2 linked regions of the Nothobranchius furzeri genome follow. The protein of the gene in region 1 interacts with the protein of each later gene in a pairwise test. Links are inferred from orthologs where the notes say so. Each region holds a gene or a part of one and is shown in the gene's direction. Other genes may lie near its edges. The genes, in order: tada2a and sf3a3.

What was found.
Region 2: the proteins of tada2a (region 1) and sf3a3 interact in binary tests that used the Homo sapiens proteins (3 or more experiments, as listed by UniProt). The two-hybrid records come from large-scale screens. The link is inferred for Nothobranchius furzeri from reciprocal best matches to the Homo sapiens genes TADA2A and SF3A3.

The regions. Positions count from the first base shown.
Region 1 is NC_091753.1:55,050,683-55,059,546, forward strand, and holds part of tada2a (transcriptional adapter 2-alpha), read left to right. Parts: intron 1-1,190; coding exon 1,191-1,279; intron 1,280-1,495; coding exon 1,496-1,568; intron 1,569-1,667; coding exon 1,668-1,731; intron 1,732-4,073; coding exon 4,074-4,117; intron 4,118-5,905; coding exon 5,906-6,016; intron 6,017-6,576; coding exon 6,577-6,648; intron 6,649-6,766; coding exon 6,767-6,899; intron 6,900-8,300; coding exon 8,301-8,344; intron 8,345-8,864. UniProt on the Homo sapiens protein: Component of the ATAC complex, a complex with histone acetyltransferase activity on histones H3 and H4. Required for the function of some acidic activation domains, which activate transcription from a distant site. Binds double-stranded DNA.
Region 2 is NC_091751.1:25,499,589-25,508,452, forward strand, and holds part of sf3a3 (splicing factor 3A subunit 3), read left to right. Parts: intron 1-1,007; coding exon 1,008-1,060; intron 1,061-2,604; coding exon 2,605-2,710; intron 2,711-2,794; coding exon 2,795-2,867; intron 2,868-5,071; coding exon 5,072-5,163; intron 5,164-5,234; coding exon 5,235-5,317; intron 5,318-5,387; coding exon 5,388-5,526; intron 5,527-5,606; coding exon 5,607-5,675; intron 5,676-5,749; coding exon 5,750-5,817; intron 5,818-8,261; coding exon 8,262-8,369; intron 8,370-8,438; coding exon 8,439-8,508; intron 8,509-8,590; coding exon 8,591-8,755; intron 8,756-8,864. UniProt on the Homo sapiens protein: Component of the 17S U2 SnRNP complex of the spliceosome, a large ribonucleoprotein complex that removes introns from transcribed pre-mRNAs.

The DNA.
Region 1 (8,864 bases):
TGTGACGTTTTATGTCTTAATTCCCAACGCAACGCACTGATGTAACAGCCGCCAAGCCTCCAGGCTTCTGATGGACTCGCCGTTGTCCGGTGCTCTCCAGACTCTCTCAAGTTAAAGTTTTAGAGAGAGAAGCCACTGGAACCTAGATCGCTTGAATCACGCAATCTCTGCTCAGAGCAGCTGAACAGGAAGTGAAGCCAGAGCTGGGCTAGCCACATTAGTTAGCCCTTCTGAGTATGTACACGTCGCTAACCTCGGTCCATAGGAGCTGAGAATGTCGCAAGAGCCAATAACCACTCACTGGTGAACAGTTAAAGTAATAACAGGTGCACATAAACAAACAGGTAACTTTTTAACCTTCTTCCCAAATAAATTGTCCTTCGAAAACAGTCCAATTCAAGCTAGCTAACACCAGATACGACAATGTATTTATCCACCTATCAGCTTCCTGTGTACGACTCACCTTTACTTGTCATCTAGAATCTTCTGGTGCTGATCCGTGGCGGGAAACAGCCTTGAAACCCAAAATCAGTAGTGAAAAAGTGAGTTGTTAAGGGCTGCAGTTACAAAGTTAGACCACAGGATGTCGTAGTTACTTCAGGCTTCATCACAGAACTTTTGAATGGCCTGTATTTGATAAAGCGCCTTCTAGAGTCCTGGAACCCCCCAAGGCGCTTTACAACACAATCAGTCATTCACCCATTCACACACCCATTCACACACGGGTGGGGATGAGCTACGATGTAGCCACAGCTGCCCTGGGGCGCACTGACAGAGGCGAGGCTGCCGAGCACTGGCGCCACCGGACCCTCCGACCACCACCAGCAGGCAGCGTGGGTTAAGTGTCTTGCCCAAGGACACAACGACAGCAACAGACTGAGTGGGACTCGAACCTGCAACCTTTTGATTACGGGGCGAGCACTTAACTCCTGTGCCATCGTCGCCCCACACTTTTCAAAGGTCTCGGGTCATTTCTGATTTGTGTAGCTTTTAAGCAGCCAGGTGTTCCGAATTTAAGTTCTCCAGGTTTACCAGTTAAGTGTGAAAGTGACCCGGCAGAGAGTCGGACCCTCCACCTGTCAGAGCAGGTCGGTTCTGGTGTTGCTCGCATGCAGCGGGTAGATTTAAGCTTCCTGGTCATTAATGTGTTAAAGAGGAAGTTTGATTTTGGTTTTCCTCTGATCCCGCAGCCTCCGACGACCCGCCCCGGCCCACGTTCGACTCCATGCTGTCTCGGGACATGGCGGGCTACATGCCGGCCAGAGCGGACTTCATGGAGGTGTGTGTGTGTGTGTGTGTGTGTGTGTGTGTGCGTGTGTGTGACCTGCAAGAATAAACCATCAGAGTCGCCACTAGGGGGCTGGAGATGAACCCTCATTGAAACAGTGACTCATACCTTTGTTGTTGCCTCTCTGAGACCCGTTTCTCATAAATTGTTGATCGTCGCTCGGTGCAGACGAGCAGATTGTGAAAACCCTTTTCATGTCTCTCTCAGGAGTTCGACAACTATGCAGAATGGGACCTGAAGGACATTGACTTTGTGGACGATGACTCAGATATCCTGCGTGGTGCGTAGGACTTTTGTTTTTAGTATTTTTATTTTTCCGTCTGATTGACCTTCAGGTGGCTGACTTTACTTTTCCATGTGGTGTTTGCTTCTCTCACAGCCCTCAAGCTCGCTGTCGTTGATATTTATCATTCAAGATTAAAAGAGAGACAAAGAAGGAAGAAGTGGGTGAATTGTATTATTTGTGATAGAAGAAAGTACTCATTAACCTGTAATAACCTCCATCTTTCAGCAGATGGCGCCATACGCCTGAGAAATCACCCCCAGGTCTCTTAAGCTCTCTGGTTTAATTAATGACATTTATGCTCATTCTAAAGTACAAAGCAAACAGTTTCGTCTCCCTCTGAGCTCAGCTCCAACATTAATGATGCTGATGTGTTTATATCACCTAAAGAGGTGTTTGTTTTGTTAAAAGCTCATTTAGGACCAACGTCCTGCGAGGCTGTGCTAGCCAGAATCAGTTTCTTCAGTCGCTACAGAACACGGAGTGGTTCACGCTCAGCTGGTGGTCATTTTTAGAAAGAAGGAAATTGTGTCACTTTGTAAAAAGTCCCATAGAATGTTCTCCGTGTTGGAGGGAAAAGATTTCAACTCCCAGAGACCGAGGATGTTTTCTTTTAAACGACAGCCATCAGAAAACCCTCACACAGCTGTTTGAGTGTGCCCATCAAAAACGGTTTTCCTGAGAGTTTTTACTCTCCAGCAACCAAAGTTAAATCAGTCAAGTCAGCGTTTTCTGAAACTGTGGCCCTCAGGCTGGGATCGCTGGACCTCCAGGGGACCACCAGCCTTAAAAGGGCATTATGGAAGTGTGACAGCCAAAACATGTATAGAAATAATAAATGTCTTCTTCATACATTCTCCTGCAATGCCCTGGTCCTGTAGAATGAGCCCTGGCATTTTTACTGTGATTGCCTGTTTTTCTGTAAAATCACAGAAAAAGAGAGATGCTCGGGTCGAGCAGGCTGCTTCATGCGCGTTCACGCTCAGGCATCGCCCGTAGCATTTGCTATCTGTAGCTTTAGCAGCAGAGAGAGAGGCAGTGCCACTTTGTCGCTGTTCCTAACGCCTAGTGACAAAGCTAGCTACATTTCTGAGGACCCTTAGCTACTTTCTGTAGAACTTTCTTCTAGATATTTCCTGCAAATTAGCAACAAAACAGCCATTTTCACTCCGAACCGTTCTTTGAACATTGTTTCAGCTGTCATCAAGGATATAAATGTTACAGATACCAAGGACGTCACTGGAGACAGCTCACCTAGTAAGACATCGGACTCTCGTGTAGAAGACCTGGGTTTGATTCTGGATGTGAACACAGTTTATTTAAAGTTCATTTTTTACATTAATTGTATTTTTTTTTACAGTAAGAGGCCCAAATTTTTATTTGAGACTTGCCGAACGGCATTGAATTCACAGATAAAAAAGATCTGGGTTCAAATTTCATTTTGGAACAATTTTTCAAGCAAGGGAAGGGAATGATCTGAGCATGCAGGAGGACTGACCCATCTTAAACCTTTGTCGGCTGTGCTGAAGAGAAAGGTACAGAACCACATTATTTAATTAATTAGCTGCGTGTTCTCCTGTCCTCCGGGCCACACACACACACACACACACACACACACACACACACACACACACACACACACACACACACATGGGGCTGTCTCACCTGTTATTTTTGTTAAGGAGTGTGCACGTACAGCTTGTGCGCCTCGTGCACGAGCCTCCTATTGAAGCTGCAGTTATGCTTTTGGCCTGAGGGGGCAATCGCGAGCATAAAAATTCAAAACTCCATAAAGTCCCTTTAAGTTGTGGGTCTGTGGGACCTGAAGCTTGTCCTGGGGTGGACACATGCAGTGGTGTGAAAAACTATTTGCCCCCTTCCTGATTTCTTATTCTTTTGCATGTTTGTCACACAAAATGTTTCTGATCATCAAACACATTTAACCGTTAGTCAAAGATAACACAAGTAAACACAAAAAGCAGTTTTGAAATGATGGTTTTTATTATTTAGGGAGAGAACGAGATCCAAACCTACATTGCCCTGTGTTGAAAAAGTAATGGCCCCCCCTTTTTAAAAAATAACCCAACTGTGGTGTTTCACACCTGAGGTCAATTTCTGTAGCCACCCCCAAGCCTGATTGGGTGTGGTTAAAATATTCTGCATGTGACCATATTATGGTGGTTCTTGGGTCGTGATGATGGGGCCCTTGAATATTGTTGCCCAGGGTACAACAGAGTGTTAATCTGGCCCTGGCTGCAGTGAAGCTTCATCAGGTTAATAATGGGATTAAAGTGGTTTCAGATGATTGGTTCAGATGTAAAACGATCCTGGTGGCTGCATCAGCCTCTGCGTTATTAAGAAGTATAATAAAATAATAATAAAAGAGACACCTGCTAGTGTGAGACAGGAACATCCACCAGCGTCTCACCTCCACAGCCCTAAAACCATCACAGGCCATTTAACAGAGAGCAGGACCTAAAACTCCATGTTTGTCTCTTTCAGGATCATCCGGGACCATGGTCTGATCAACCTCCGCAAGTTTCAGAGTAAGAACCCCCCCCCCCCCCCAACCTCCCTCTAACGCGGATCAGCTGGTGGGTGGAGGGGGTGGGGGGCGCAAATGGTTCAGCTGTAATAACCTTCATCCACCACAGCAGCCGTTAGAGGTCTTGCATGGGGGGGGGGGGGGGGGGGGGGGGCACTGCCTAGCTGCTGTTTGATTAGTGTTGCTGCGGTAACGGCTCAAATGGGTGGGGGGGGGGGGCGATGCACCTGCTGGATCTCTAACCATTCCTCTGCACCTCTGGGTTTTTTATGAGTCATCGAAGGCTGCTGCTGCAGAAGGATTTTGTCCAATTACAGTGTCTCATCTCCCCCCCCCCCCCCCCCCCCACACACACACACACCAGCCCCACCTGTTGCTCTGAGAAGCAGTCCTCTCTTCTGCCCTGTTTTAATAGATGCTTCCTTCAGCCAACATTTCCCACAGCCCTCCGGCGTTCTGAAGACAAAAGAGGACTACGATTGCAAACTGGTTGTCATGGCGACTGTCAAAAGTCTGTTTGTGTGTGTGTGTTTGTAATCATGCGTGTGTGATCGTGTGTGCATCACGTGTAATAACAGCACCTGAGCCTGGGAGGCTCTGTATCGTGTCTGTGCTGCAGGAGGTGCAGCGGCCGGGAGATTCTGGCGGCTATCAGGCCACATCGAGGTGCTGAGTCTCCATCTCCATGGAGACGTGAATAACTTTGTGTGTGTGTGTGTGAGGGGGGGGGGGGGGGGGGGGGAGTCTGCTGTTTGGAGCCCGGCTTCAGCCTGAGATGGCAGCTGCTAATTAGAGCTCAGATGCTGAAGTCTCCTGGTTGTAACAGGAGTGACAGTTCAACACCCGGCTGTTACCCGGCAACACGAGAGAAGCTTTAAGACAGCGTGTGTGTGTGTGTGTGTGTGTTGAGATCTGTGTGTGATCAGGTGTTTGAATAAAAATGGAGGATTTTTATCCCCAGTTCTGTCGGCACTGCAGCCGTGAGCGATGACGTCAGCAGGGAGGAGATAACAGGAAGTGGCGTGTTCTACTAGGGCTATACTGCTCAGTCCAGAAATAAATCCTGCCAATCATTTTAGGAAATGCTAAATCCACTTTTTTGATGCTGGACATGGGTTTGACTCCCAGTGATTCAACAAACTTTTTTTTTTTCCCAGATTTGAACGTCTTTACCGTCTCTGTCAAGTGGAAAGTAATATTTCTCTCAAAACCAGGAGAATAAAGATTAAAATGTGTAATCTGAGGAGACAGAAGCTAAGTAGCAAAGATGTTCCTGCTGTGCCGAGGAAACATATTTGCTCTTAACACCGGAGCGTTTCCTAGGTTGTTCTACTGGAGAGCAGAGTCCGTGGTTCCGTCAGTAGCAGGAAGTGTTCCTGAAGCAGCAGAGCAGCCCCAGACCATCACACTACTACCACCATGTCTGGCTGTTGCTATAGTGATGGTTGGGTTGACTCCAGATGGAACTGGACATCCAGAAAAGTCTTGGATCATTGGGGTTTTGGCCTTGGAGCGCTCTCACAGACGACATTTTTGCTCCTTGTTTCCTTTTTTGTTTTTGACTTGTGACCTCTGACCTTACTTTAGAATGAGCTGGTTTTGTGATGATGAGTGGGTCGTGCCGTGCTGCTTTGTGGGGTTGTTTAGCCTGCTTCCTGATGGAGGCGTGGAACTGAACTCTGCTTCATTAATAATCTTGTCTTTAATGCCAGCTAACGAGGGGGACGGTGACCGATCCACGCGTGTCCCGGTCGGTTTGGACTCACTCCTGTCCTCTTTTGGTTGTCAGTGCTGGAGCGATGCTACCCGAAGGAGGTGCAGGAGCTGTATGACATCATGAGGAGGTTTGCAAGAGTGGTGGGGCCGGTCGAGCATGACAAATTCATCGAAAGTCACGCGCGTGAGTATCTGGTTGCCATGGTTACCACCACTGGTCAGCAGGCCGTTTTCACGTAGCTTCGGCTGAATGTCGATGAGCTCGGTGGACCTCCACCTCACTCGTTCCCTCTGAAGCTGCTTTCATCTGCCAGCAGGCAGGAATCAGGCGTGACATGTTGCGCAGCCGTGTTGGTGTGGCGTGTTCCAGCTCAGCCTTTCACGCCTCCATCGATTCAGCCGTGTGACGGCGTGCGGCTCCGTCCAGCCGCCTGCTGCAGGTGTTGCAGGGCTGGAGGCTTGCTTGCTGCTTTCTTTCTCATTTCCAGTTCTGCTAATGTAGTTTGCGATTTCATAGATGCCACTCTGCTTTATTTAACCTGAACAGTTGCTAGGCAACCAGCTCTGACCCCAGAAAAATCTCTTTGTTGTGGTGTAAAAATCCAGTCTTTACCCTTTGCACTCGGGGTCTTTAGATGGTTTTAGTGTCAGGCTAGAGGAAGTTCTCTGATGCTTCTCATCGTGACGATCTGCAGCAGCGGCGACCCGATCCACATTAAACCTTCAACACTCTTGTCGTTCCAGTGGAGTTTGAGTTGAGGAGAGAGATCCGCCGGCTGCAGGAATACAGGAAAGCAGGGATCAAGTCGTTCTGCAGTGAGTTGAACTTTGACCTTTACCTTCAACGTTTCAGCAGCACTTTTCTGAAGGCCTGCGTAAACCTGAGGAATTAGGTCACAGTCATGCATTTACGTCTCCGTTCCGTCTGCATCAGGCGCTAAAGTGTACGAGCGGGTGAAGCGGATGCGCGAGGACGAGCGCAGGAAGAGGACCATGTTGTGTGACGTCCTTCAGTACATCCAAGATGGAAAAGCCTGCCAGCAGTGGCTCAGCAAGCAGGCCGCCATGTAAGAGCTTAACAGCTGGGCTTACCGGAGATGACTAAACGTCATGTTTCCACCTCACTCTGACGTACGTGTTTGGCTCTGGTTAACGTGCCGCCGCAGCGGCTCCCGTTTGGCTTTTATCTGAGGCGTTTTCCTGCCTGTTGTCCCAAAAATCCATAAAACTGCAATGATTCATGTTTTTGGATGAGAATCTGGAGCAAGAAGAGTGAACAAAGCCTTGAGTGGGTGGGTGGGTGAGTGAGTGAGTGAGTGAGTGAGTGAGTGAGTGAGTGAGTGAGTGGGTGGGTGGGTGGGTGGGTGAGTGAGTGGGTGGGTGGGTGAGTGAGTGAGTGAGTGTGGGTGAGTGAGTGGGTGAGTGAGTGAGTGAGTGAGTGGGTGAGTGAGTGGGTGAGTGAGTGAGTGAGTGAGTGGGTGGGTGGGTGAGTGAGTGAGTGAGTGTGGGTGAGTGAGTGGGTGAGTGAGTGAGTGAGTGAGTGGGTGAGTGAGTGAGTGAGTGAGTGGGTGGGTGGGTGAGTGAGTGAGTGAGTGTGGGTGAGTGAGTGGGTGAGTGAGTGAGTGAGTGAGTGGGTGAGTGAGTGAGTGAGTGAGTGGGTGGGTGGGTGAGTGAGTGAGTGGGTGGGTGGGTGAGTGAGTGAGTGAGTGAGTGAGTGGGTGGGTGGGTGAGTGAGTGAGTGGGTGGGTGAGTGAGTGAGTGAGTGAGTGAGTGGGTGAGTGAGTGAGTGAGTGAGTGAGTGAGTGAGTGAGTGAGTGAGTGAGTGGGTGGGTGGGTGAGTGAGTGAGTGAGTGAGTGAGTGAGTGAGTGAGTGAGCGAGCGAGAGTGGGTGAGTGAGTGAGTGAGTGAGTGAGTGAGTGGGTGAGTGAGTGAGTGGGTGAGTGAGTGGGTGGGTGGGTGGGTGAGTGAGTGAGTGAGTGAGTGGGTGAATGAGTGAGTGAGTGAGTGAGTAAGCGAGCGAGAGTGGGTGAGTGAGTGAGTGGGTGAGTGAGTGAGTGGGTGAGTGGGTGAGTGAGTGAGTGAGTGAGTGGGTGGGTGAGTGGGTGAGTGAGTGAGTGGGTGGGTGAGTGAGTGAGTGAGTGAGTGAGTGAGTGAGTGAGTGAGTGGGTGGGTGGGTGGGTGAGTGAGTGAGTGAGTGAGTGAGTGAGTGAGTGGGTGAGTGAGTGAGTGAGTGAGTGAGTGAGTGAGTGAGTGAGTGGGTGGGTGGGTGGGTGGGTGAGTGGGTGGGTGGGTGGGTGGGTGAGTGAGTGAGTGAGTGAGTGAGTGAGTGAGTGAGTGAGTGAGTGGGTGGGTGGGTGGGTGAGTGAGTGAGTGAGTGGGTGGGTGGGTGGGTGGGTGGGTGAGTGAGTGAGTGAGTGAGTGAGTGAGAACGTGGCAGCAGATAATAATACTTTTCTGTCTCATTACAGAGATGCGGGTGTCACTCCAGCTGTCACAACGATCACGGTATCGGGTACGAAGTTTCTCTTCTCCTCGTGCTCCGCTCTGTCTGTCTGACTTCAGTTGCTACAACGTTTTGTTCACACGTGGAAACTGGAGCCCAGGAGTAGAGCCCTAGGCCCGCGGGTCGGCCCGGCCCGACGCCCCGAGGGCCGGGCTTTGGGCCAACGACTGTGTAATTACCTCGGACACGGGCCGGGCCGGGCGCCTTTATTTTTAATCGAATTCATAAAAAACAAAACTGAAACACTTGAACGCAGCAGCACCTGCCTGCTTCTCACGCACCGTCAGCTCAGTTCAGGTCTGTGTGGTTTATAATATAAACAAATTCTCAAACTGCTGATTGAAACATGTGCCCCTATTCTAATACGCCGTTTTATGTCCACTCTGATGTCAGAAACCGTTCGTTTATTCTCATGAAAACGGCAGCATTCCATTTTTCTGTGAATAAATTCGCTCTGCAGTTAGAAAAAAACAGCATTCACTGCTGTTTTTTTCTAACTGCGCATTTTCAGAGCGGCAGATTAAATTTA
Region 2 (8,864 bases), on another chromosome or scaffold:
AGGCATTGGTTCCTGTTTTTCGAATCTTAGGTGTGACTCGACCGTGGATTTGAATCCCGATATCCCAGTCCCAGGGCAGACACTCATACTAATAGCCCACCTAATAATTGCATCATGTATTTCTATATGTACTTTCAATTTTATAACCAGTTATTGTCAATTTTGGTGGGATCAGACCTCCATAGGTTGATTTTTAAAATGTTTTAAATAATTTTAAGAATCACATTTAAACATGATCCTGAATGAAAGCGTATGTCGTGGTTGAATAAAATACTTGATCAGCTCAGTGCAGTGTGCTGGTTGCTTCTAAAGGTAATGTGCTTTATTTAACAATCTGATGTTTATTTAGATCTTCTCAGATCTAACAGAACTATGATGACATCTGAATCAGTCTGATATTTCTACCTGGAGATTCTAAGAAGCAGAATTTGTCAACTGATCTCACACACAGCTTAACCCAAAGTCTTAGATCCGGAGGGCATTATGCACATAGGGGTTGGGGTGCTCGGAGCGCCCCAACCCCTATGTGCGTAATGCCCTCCTCCCCTTTTCATCTAATGATCGTGGTTAAAAGGAAATCCTCCAGAATGCTGCAGAATCTGTGTCTGCTTTTTTTTTCCTGAGCGGTAAGTCTTGTGTGAGTGCATGCTTGCATGCACGCGCGAGTGTGCCTGCGCTAGTTAACAACTCGTTTTTAGATTGAGAAACTCCGACAGCACACGCGGAGGGGTTGAGGGGGGTGCGGTCTACCACTGCCTCAGTGCCGCTCTCCCGGTTCGCCAGGTGACGCCTCTTTCAGAAGCGTTTTTCTAACAGGAAATGTGGATGAAATGCGTCTCCAACCAGGCATTGACCCTCACTTTAAATAGTATTCTAGAGCTAGGTGTTGTCAAGCTATGTGTTACCATGGTAATTTAGAGCCAAGTCTATTACCATGATGATCTAACAGTGAGTCAGTGTTGGCTAGTTTAATGTCATCTGTTGTCATGTTCTGTGTCTCCTCACAGAGGTATATGGAAGTGAGTGCAAATCTCAGGGACTCTTATGAAGACAAAGATGGGTACGTTTTAATTTTTTTAAATATATTCAATGTACTTTTTTTTTTTGCTTGTTAGAGTTAAGCTGTTGTCTCTTTCTGTTACCCATTGTTTACTCAGGTTTGTTTTCCTGACAGTAAAAAAAATCTAAATATATAATTACATTTTTATTCTGGCCTATCAGAAGCGTTGGTATCCCATTCCACGGCTTTTGTTGCTACTTCTTTTATTAAATATATTAAATATTAAAGTCCAATGGCTCTATTTATAAAACTTTGTTTGGATCCTTTACTAAAAAAATTTACTTGCAGAAATAAAAAATTGGACCCATAAAACACTGCGTACATATAGCTGTACACAATTCCTGCTTTATCTAACTCTACCTAGAAATGTGTTCAGGTGATTTTGGATCACATCCCGCCTCCCGCACACCCACTGCTACCATTATGGTCAGTGCAAATCACTTCATCAATATTCTGGATATACATAAGCCAGCCAACCTGTGGATTTTCATGTGGAAACCATGGCAACAGCGAAAAACGCCTGTTTCACTGAGCTTGAAATCGAGGTGCTTGTGGGTGAGGTAGGGCATGGAAAATCTTTTTATTGTCTTTGAGTGGTACAGCGTTTGGTATGGCGGCGGATTCTGTCAGAGTGATGAGAGATCTGTGGTGAATATAAAAAGAAAAAAAACATTCAAAAGAAGTGGTCAGATGGAGGCAAAGAGGAAGATGGCATTTAAATGCTATCATTTAATGATACCATCTAAACGACTTCCTTATGATGCTGAGATATTTCTGATGTAAGGGAAACATTAAAACTCATTCATAAGTTACATTGAGAATATGTCAGTCTGTGATATTAATTTATGATTTTATTATGGCGAGTGCATAAAGCCCAGCGAACCATCGTTTTGCGTATACAAAGAGCACTCGCTACTGCTTTATGGAAGAAACACTGCCTTGCCAGAATTTGAATTTTTTAGACGTTCATTTAATTAGAATTTTAATTCTGTGAAATCGTGTACTTGAATTTATTTACTTGTTTACTTAAATTACACCAGCAAAATTTTAATCTGTTAAACATCAATTGCAGAATTTCATCTTCAAAAATTCAACAACAGGATTTCAACAGCAAAAATTCAACATCAACTGACGTAACCAAGCCAAAGTAAACATCACTCCATTGAGTCGACATCTAACTGGTGTCACATGATCAGAGAAGTCTAATATGCTTGGCTAAAAGCCTCTTGAATCTATTAATCGATGGTCGCTTTGGCTTGGTTTACCAAGAGGTCACCTCAGTTGTTGAATTTTTATGGATGAAATCTTTGCTGATGTATTTTAAATTTTAAAAAATTCAAATAACACATAATAAAAATTCTTTTTCATAAATTCTATGTCTAAAAAAAGTCATTCTGATGAGATTGTATTTCTTCCATACAACATTTCCTTCTTTTTTCCATATCAGATCTGATAAAGGCGAGGCGTTGGATTGGTGTTTTATGTTTACTTGTGTTTAAGTGTTGAAAACACCTGAATAAAAAATGGAAATTGCTCCCATCCAGCATGAGAAAGGACGAGCTTGGTGCCATCTCTGGACCAAATGAGTTTGCAGAGTTCTACAACAGACTAAAGCAGATAAAGGAGTTCCACCGAAAGCACCCAAATGAAGTAAGAGACATCGTGAGCAGTCAGATTAGATTGTATAGTGTACCTGAAGCAGTCTCACTGCTGTTTGTCTCATATTTTCTGTAGATTTCCATCCCCATGTCTGCAGAATTTGAAGAGTTGATGAAGGCCAAAGAAAATCTCAGCGAGGAGGCTCAGAGTAAGTTCGACGAGGTTTGCCATTCATCCATGTTTAATGGATAAGAGTGGGTGTCACAATTCCCCTGAGCTAGATTTCAAGGTGGTGCTGCCATGTGGGTCTCTCTAAGCACTCCTGACCTGTCCATTTGTTTCTTTCAGTGTTTGGTTTTAGGAATTATGCCTGAAACAATCCACTAAATTCGCATAGGAAACACACACACACATGGCTGATGACTGGAGCAGTTACAGCTCTACTCCAAGCCCCTCCTAGATTCACAGGAGTGAGCCTCACCTCACACCTCACCTTCCTCCGCTTATCCGGGGTCAGGGTTGCTGGGGCAGCATCCCAAGTAGGGCCCCCCAGGCAGTCCTCTCTCTGGCCACGTCCGCCAGCTCTTCAGCTGGGACACCCAGGCATTCTCTGGCCAACCTAGAGATGTATTTCCTCCAGGTAGTCCTGGGTCAACCCAGGGGCCTCCTGCCGGCAGGACATGCCCAAACACCTCCCGAGGGAGGCGTCAAGGAGGCATCCTGACCACATGCCCGAACCACCTCAACTGGCTCCTTTCGATGCGGAGGAGCCAGTTGAGCTGCGGCTCCACTCAGAGTCCCTCCCGGATGTCTGAGTTTCTTAGCCCAGACCTTTTCCGATCGAGAACCATGGTTTCAGATTTGGAGGTACTGATCCTCATCCCAGCTGCATCACACTCGGCTGCGAACCTCCCCAGCAAGAGCTGTAGGTCCGAGCTTGATGAAGCTAGGAGGACCACATCCGCAAAAAGCAGGGATGAGATTCTCCTGCCACCAAACTCCACACCCTCAACACCACGGCTGCACCTAGAAATCCTGTTCATAAATGTTATGAACAGGACTAGTGACAAAGGGCAGTCCTGGCGGAGTCCATCCCCGGTCTGCCGCTCCACAGGAACTGCCCCTGATGACCACGCAATGTTTCAGAGACATCTCAACCACGACAGTCCTACAATATCCAAAGCCGTGAGATACCCAGGACGAATCTCATCCACCTCCGAGGCTCCACTGCTGTGTAGTTGTGTGACTACCTCAGTAACTTCTGCCCTAGAGATCGGACAGTCCGTTCCCAGGTCAACCAAGGCTGTTCCTCCTTGGAATGCGTGTCAGTGGGATTGAGAAACTCCTCAAAGTATTCCTTCCACCGTCCGACTGTTGCCCCAGTTGACGTCAGCAGCTCCCCATCCCCACTGCAGAAAGTGTGAGCGAGTTGCCGCCTTCCCGTCCAGAGGCGCTGGACAGTTTGTCAGAACCTCTTTGGAGCCGACCGATGGTCTTTTTCCACAGCTTCTCCCATGTCCGAGCTTTTGCCTCAGAAAGTGCCACTGCCATCCGGCTCCACAGAGTCTTGAAACGACTCACTCTGGAAGGTTCTGGAGCTGCCAAAGCTGCTGAGATCGCTTTATTAGAGGGATTTGGAGCAGAGAACTAGATTAATTTGGTTCATTAAGATCTGGATTAAATAACATGGGTTGGTGCACATTAAAATCTAATCGTAGGTTTAGCTGAGCTGAGGTTTGATCCATTTTTAGTTTCCAGTTTCCATCCCAAAACTCATGAAACATCTGGAAATTTTTAGCTCATTGGTACTTCATTCATTCATTCTCTACCTGCAATAGAGGCTCATTCAACTATTTGAGGTTGTCAATCCCAGCTTGTAATTAGTCTTTTTGCTGTGTTCCTGAGCATTAGCCTAGCCAGCCATGCCAAAGCAAAGGGCCTGGTGACGCTCCCATTCAGCCCCCCCCCCCCTCTTTCCGAATTTGAACTGAGCCAATCAGCGCTAAGCAGCGTACGTCACACACTGACACTCGGTTTCTCATAAACAACAAAGATGGCGTCTAAAACGGAGATCGCTGTGGCTGTTTCCTCTGTTCTAAGTAACTTGGACATGTCTTTAAATTCACAAAAGAAGCACTAAAAGCCTTTCCTCTAAAGAAAGATGTTTACGCTGTTGCCAGACGCCATCTTTGACTAGAGCGCTGTGCGATACAGTCGTCAGTTCTGCCTTTTATTTGACTGGTTATTTTTGAGCTGGTTAGTCCCGCCCCTCGTGGTGCTCTCTGCCTCTGAGATCCAGACCCGTCCTCTGTGTAGAGTGGACGGAGGGCGAGCCTGGCAGGCCAGGCTACTTGTAACGAGTGAGTGACGGGAGAAGCTGCGGCTGAAGTGATGCTTGTGTGTCTTTCTCAGACATGGTGGATTTCACTGACGAGGAGGGATACGGTCGCTACCTGGATCTCCATGACTGCTACCTGAAGTACATCAACCTGAAGGGAGCCGAGGTTGGGATCCTCACATCGTCCACGTGTGTGATTTGGATCCATGTATTCTTACTGCCGCTCCTGTCTTACAGAAGGTGGATTATATCAGTTACCTGACCTCGTTTGACCAGCTGTTTGACATCCCTAAAGACAGGAAAAACGCTGAGTATAAAAAGTAGGCCTTTCTCTGCGGTGTCACGTCCGACTCGACGGGTCAGAAAATCTTATGACACGACTTTGTTCAGGTACCTGGAGATGCTGCTTGAGTACCTGCAGGACTACACAGACCGGGTCAAACCTCTGTCGGACCAGAATGAGCTCTACAGCAAAGTGCTCGGAGACTTCGAGAAGAAGTGGGACAATGGCACCTTTCCTGGGTGGCCCGTAAGTCCAGAACTGTCTGCTGGCTCTGATGGGGCTCGCTGATCCCTCCTGACATGCTTGGCTTTTTGATTTTGCTCTAGAAAGAGACGAGTAGTGCTCTGACTCACGCCGGTGCTCATCTGGACCTCTCTGCTTTTTCTTCCTGGGAGGTAAGTAACCGGAATCTCCTGGTTGGAGTTAAAACTGAAGGTTGCTTCCTCACACACCTGTTTGTGTCACACAGGAGCTGGCCTCGCTGGGTCTGGACCGACTCAAATCTGCTCTCATGGCTCTGGGACTGAAGTGTGGAGGGTAAGAAATCTGGGACCAGAGTATGAAAAGTAGCACAAGGGGATCTCCACACAACACAAAAACGCAGTACAACAGTGGAGGACATGGTAGTGATGTTCTACGTTCTGTTTAGTCGTGGCTTTTTGTCAGACTCTCAAACCGGGAACAGCAGCGGGAGGAAAACTCTGGAGCAACTAGTGACTCTACCTCCTTGCCAGAGAACATCTCAGCAAGTAGAAGCTAACTGTTAGCATTAGCAACTCCACCACACAGCAGAACTTCTCAAGGTTTGTGTTATATGTGGAGATGAAACACAAAAGCACACAGTCAGTGGTATAGTCACGTTGCTGTTAGGAGAGATTAGATCTGTAGCGAAGCCTCGATGACGTCGACGGCTCGATTCTAAAAATTTGTCGCCGTCAGATCCGGTAGTCGACGCACCGCGCCCACTTGTTGCATCCCCAGGAGTTTGTAAATAGAGGAGGAATCTGCCTGGTTTTCCTCTAGTTCGCCCTCTTCTCCGCCTTCACTAACATCTCCGCCAAATACCGAAGACCCGGAACAATGTCCGTCCGCTGCTATATTCCTTTCCTGTTTTGCCCGCCTTCGTCTCCCGGCAACAGACAACAACTTCCGGGGTCAGATGCGCTGCTTCGTCTCTACCACAGATGTAGAAAATCACCGGGAGCGTTTCTCCCTTCATAAAGGAGCTTCTTTCAGACATGAGGAGAGCTGTTTTGGTGGTAGCAGACTCTCCTCCGCGCTGGTCTGTTTGCTGCTGGGTGTTTTTGGTTTATTTAAACTTGGTAACTTGAACTTAACGTTGGTAAAGCTACTGTTAGCATTTTCGCTAACAGCTTCTTGCGTTGGGATGAGCGTTTATGTTTTGGTTTAGAGTTCATCTTTTTTGTGGTGCAGATCTCCTTTTATTACATTTAGAGTGTTGTGGGTTTTCGGTTTAGTGTAAAATATCACCTTGAGTTTGGTTTAACCACCCAGTTTAGAGTTTGGACCTTTGGAGATCCATATTTTGGTCCAGAACCCTGTAATATTTGCCCAGTGGGACATCCCTAGTTATTTGTACTTTTGTTTTAATTCCCCACAGGCAGAATTAGTTTTATTATTCCCAACCTGTGGATGGAAAGGTTTATGTTTTTTGTTGTTGTAAATAAACCTGACCATCATTTTAACTTTAAAATCCCGTGTTATTGTCCCTTCCTTTTTGCACACGAGCCAAACTCCCCAGGAAGGGTCGTAACACCACTCGCCTCACGCACATAAGTGACCAAAACAAAGCAGCATGGAGACTCTCCGTCTCCATCCACCTCTCAGGCAGCAGCCTGCTCTCCCAAGTTCTACACGTCACCAGAACATAACCAACCGCAACACAATAAAAGCAGTTTTATACAAAATGGAAGGCCTGTAGTGTTTATTCTCTTACAGTAACAATTAATCAATTTTTTAGAGGAATTTATTTGTTTGTTTTTTGGTTTTTATTAACCGTGCAATAGAAGAATAAACACTAGATTAATTGTCTAAATAGTCATTAGAATAGTCGACTATTCGTCAGAATAATCGTTTTAGAAATAATCGTTTACCCCCAGCCCTAGGAGAGATGTCTGAATATCAGGAAACAGGATCTGCACCCCTCTCTCCTGGCTGCTTTCACACAAACTTGGACCTGGCGTAGGCACATTTCGGAGATGGTGACACATTTTCAGACTTGTAGACACACACACGCACAAAACCAACAAGCCCCCGCCCCAGTCTCTGAAATGGGAATAATTACATCTGTAATTATAATATAATGTTTTTTAGATATTACTTTCATATGTCTTCAGATTACTCATTGGTGCATCTCTAACTATAAACTAAAACGGCACCGCAGCAACCCGGGTGGAGGTGCATCTGTCGGTTTTCCTTGGACAGCGGCTCAGATGGAACACCGGCTCGTTCCGGCGGGAATTAGTTGACCGTCGGGCTGATGATTGTTTCAAATGAACAGTATTTCCTGCCTAAAGCCCTTTTTGGTTAAATGAATGTTTTCATAAAATGTATCAGTCCTTATTGACATTTTAGGCTCCATCTGACCAATTATTTAAATGTTTTTATTTGTTTATTGAGATCCCAACGCTCACTGCTGAGCCCCAGAGTGTGCATTACCGTCTTGGTCGTCATGGTTACCGGTGACATGCCATCACTTAGCAGGCATATTTGTATGCACAATATTCATAACGTAGTTTGCATTGGTCATTTATGGTGGAAAGTGGGTGTGTAGGAGGTGAGGTGTGATCCTGAAACACCTGAGCTCATTTCTCGGACAGGTGAAAATTATTTTTTTTTTTTTTTTTTTTTTTTAACTGATTCCAAATAGAGTTTTAGCAATGATTTTAGAGAGTTAATCAGGTAACGCCTGTGATCTGGTGGGGGGTCCAGGTGCTGAGGTGGTGTTTCTGTCTTCTCAGGACTCTGGAAGAGAGAGCTCAGAGACTGTTCAGCACTAAAGGAAAATCCCTGGAATCCCTCGACCCGTCATTGTTTGCCAAGAATCCCAAAGCTAAAGGTCCTAAGAAGTAGGTGGTGCCAGAGTTCGCCCTGCCGTGTGACTTTTATCACTCTAACGTTCTTCTCTTCTCCCGCAGAGACACGGAGCGAAACAAGGAGATCGGCTTCCTGGAAGCTCAGGTCTACGAGTATGTGGAGATTCTGGGGGTGAGTCCACTTCGTGGGAGGTGGCTTTTGTTTCCAATCTGTTGGTCTTTATGGCAACTTTGAGTTTCCTGTTCGGAATCAGGAGCAGAGGCAGCTGACCCACGAGAACGTCCAGAGGAAGCAGGCTAGGACAGGCGAGGAGCGAGAGGAGGAGGAGGAGGAGCAGCTGAGTGAGAGCGAGAGTGAAGACGAAGACAACGAGATCATTTACAACCCCAAGAACCTGCCGCTGGGCTGGGACGGAAAGGTGAGCCCATACATGTGACTTTCTGCTGTCAGGTCAGAGAGCTGCATGATCCTGTTAGCTTCGGGGTCAGTGAAGCTGCTTAGGCCACACCCCTTTTCTCTGGTTTTCC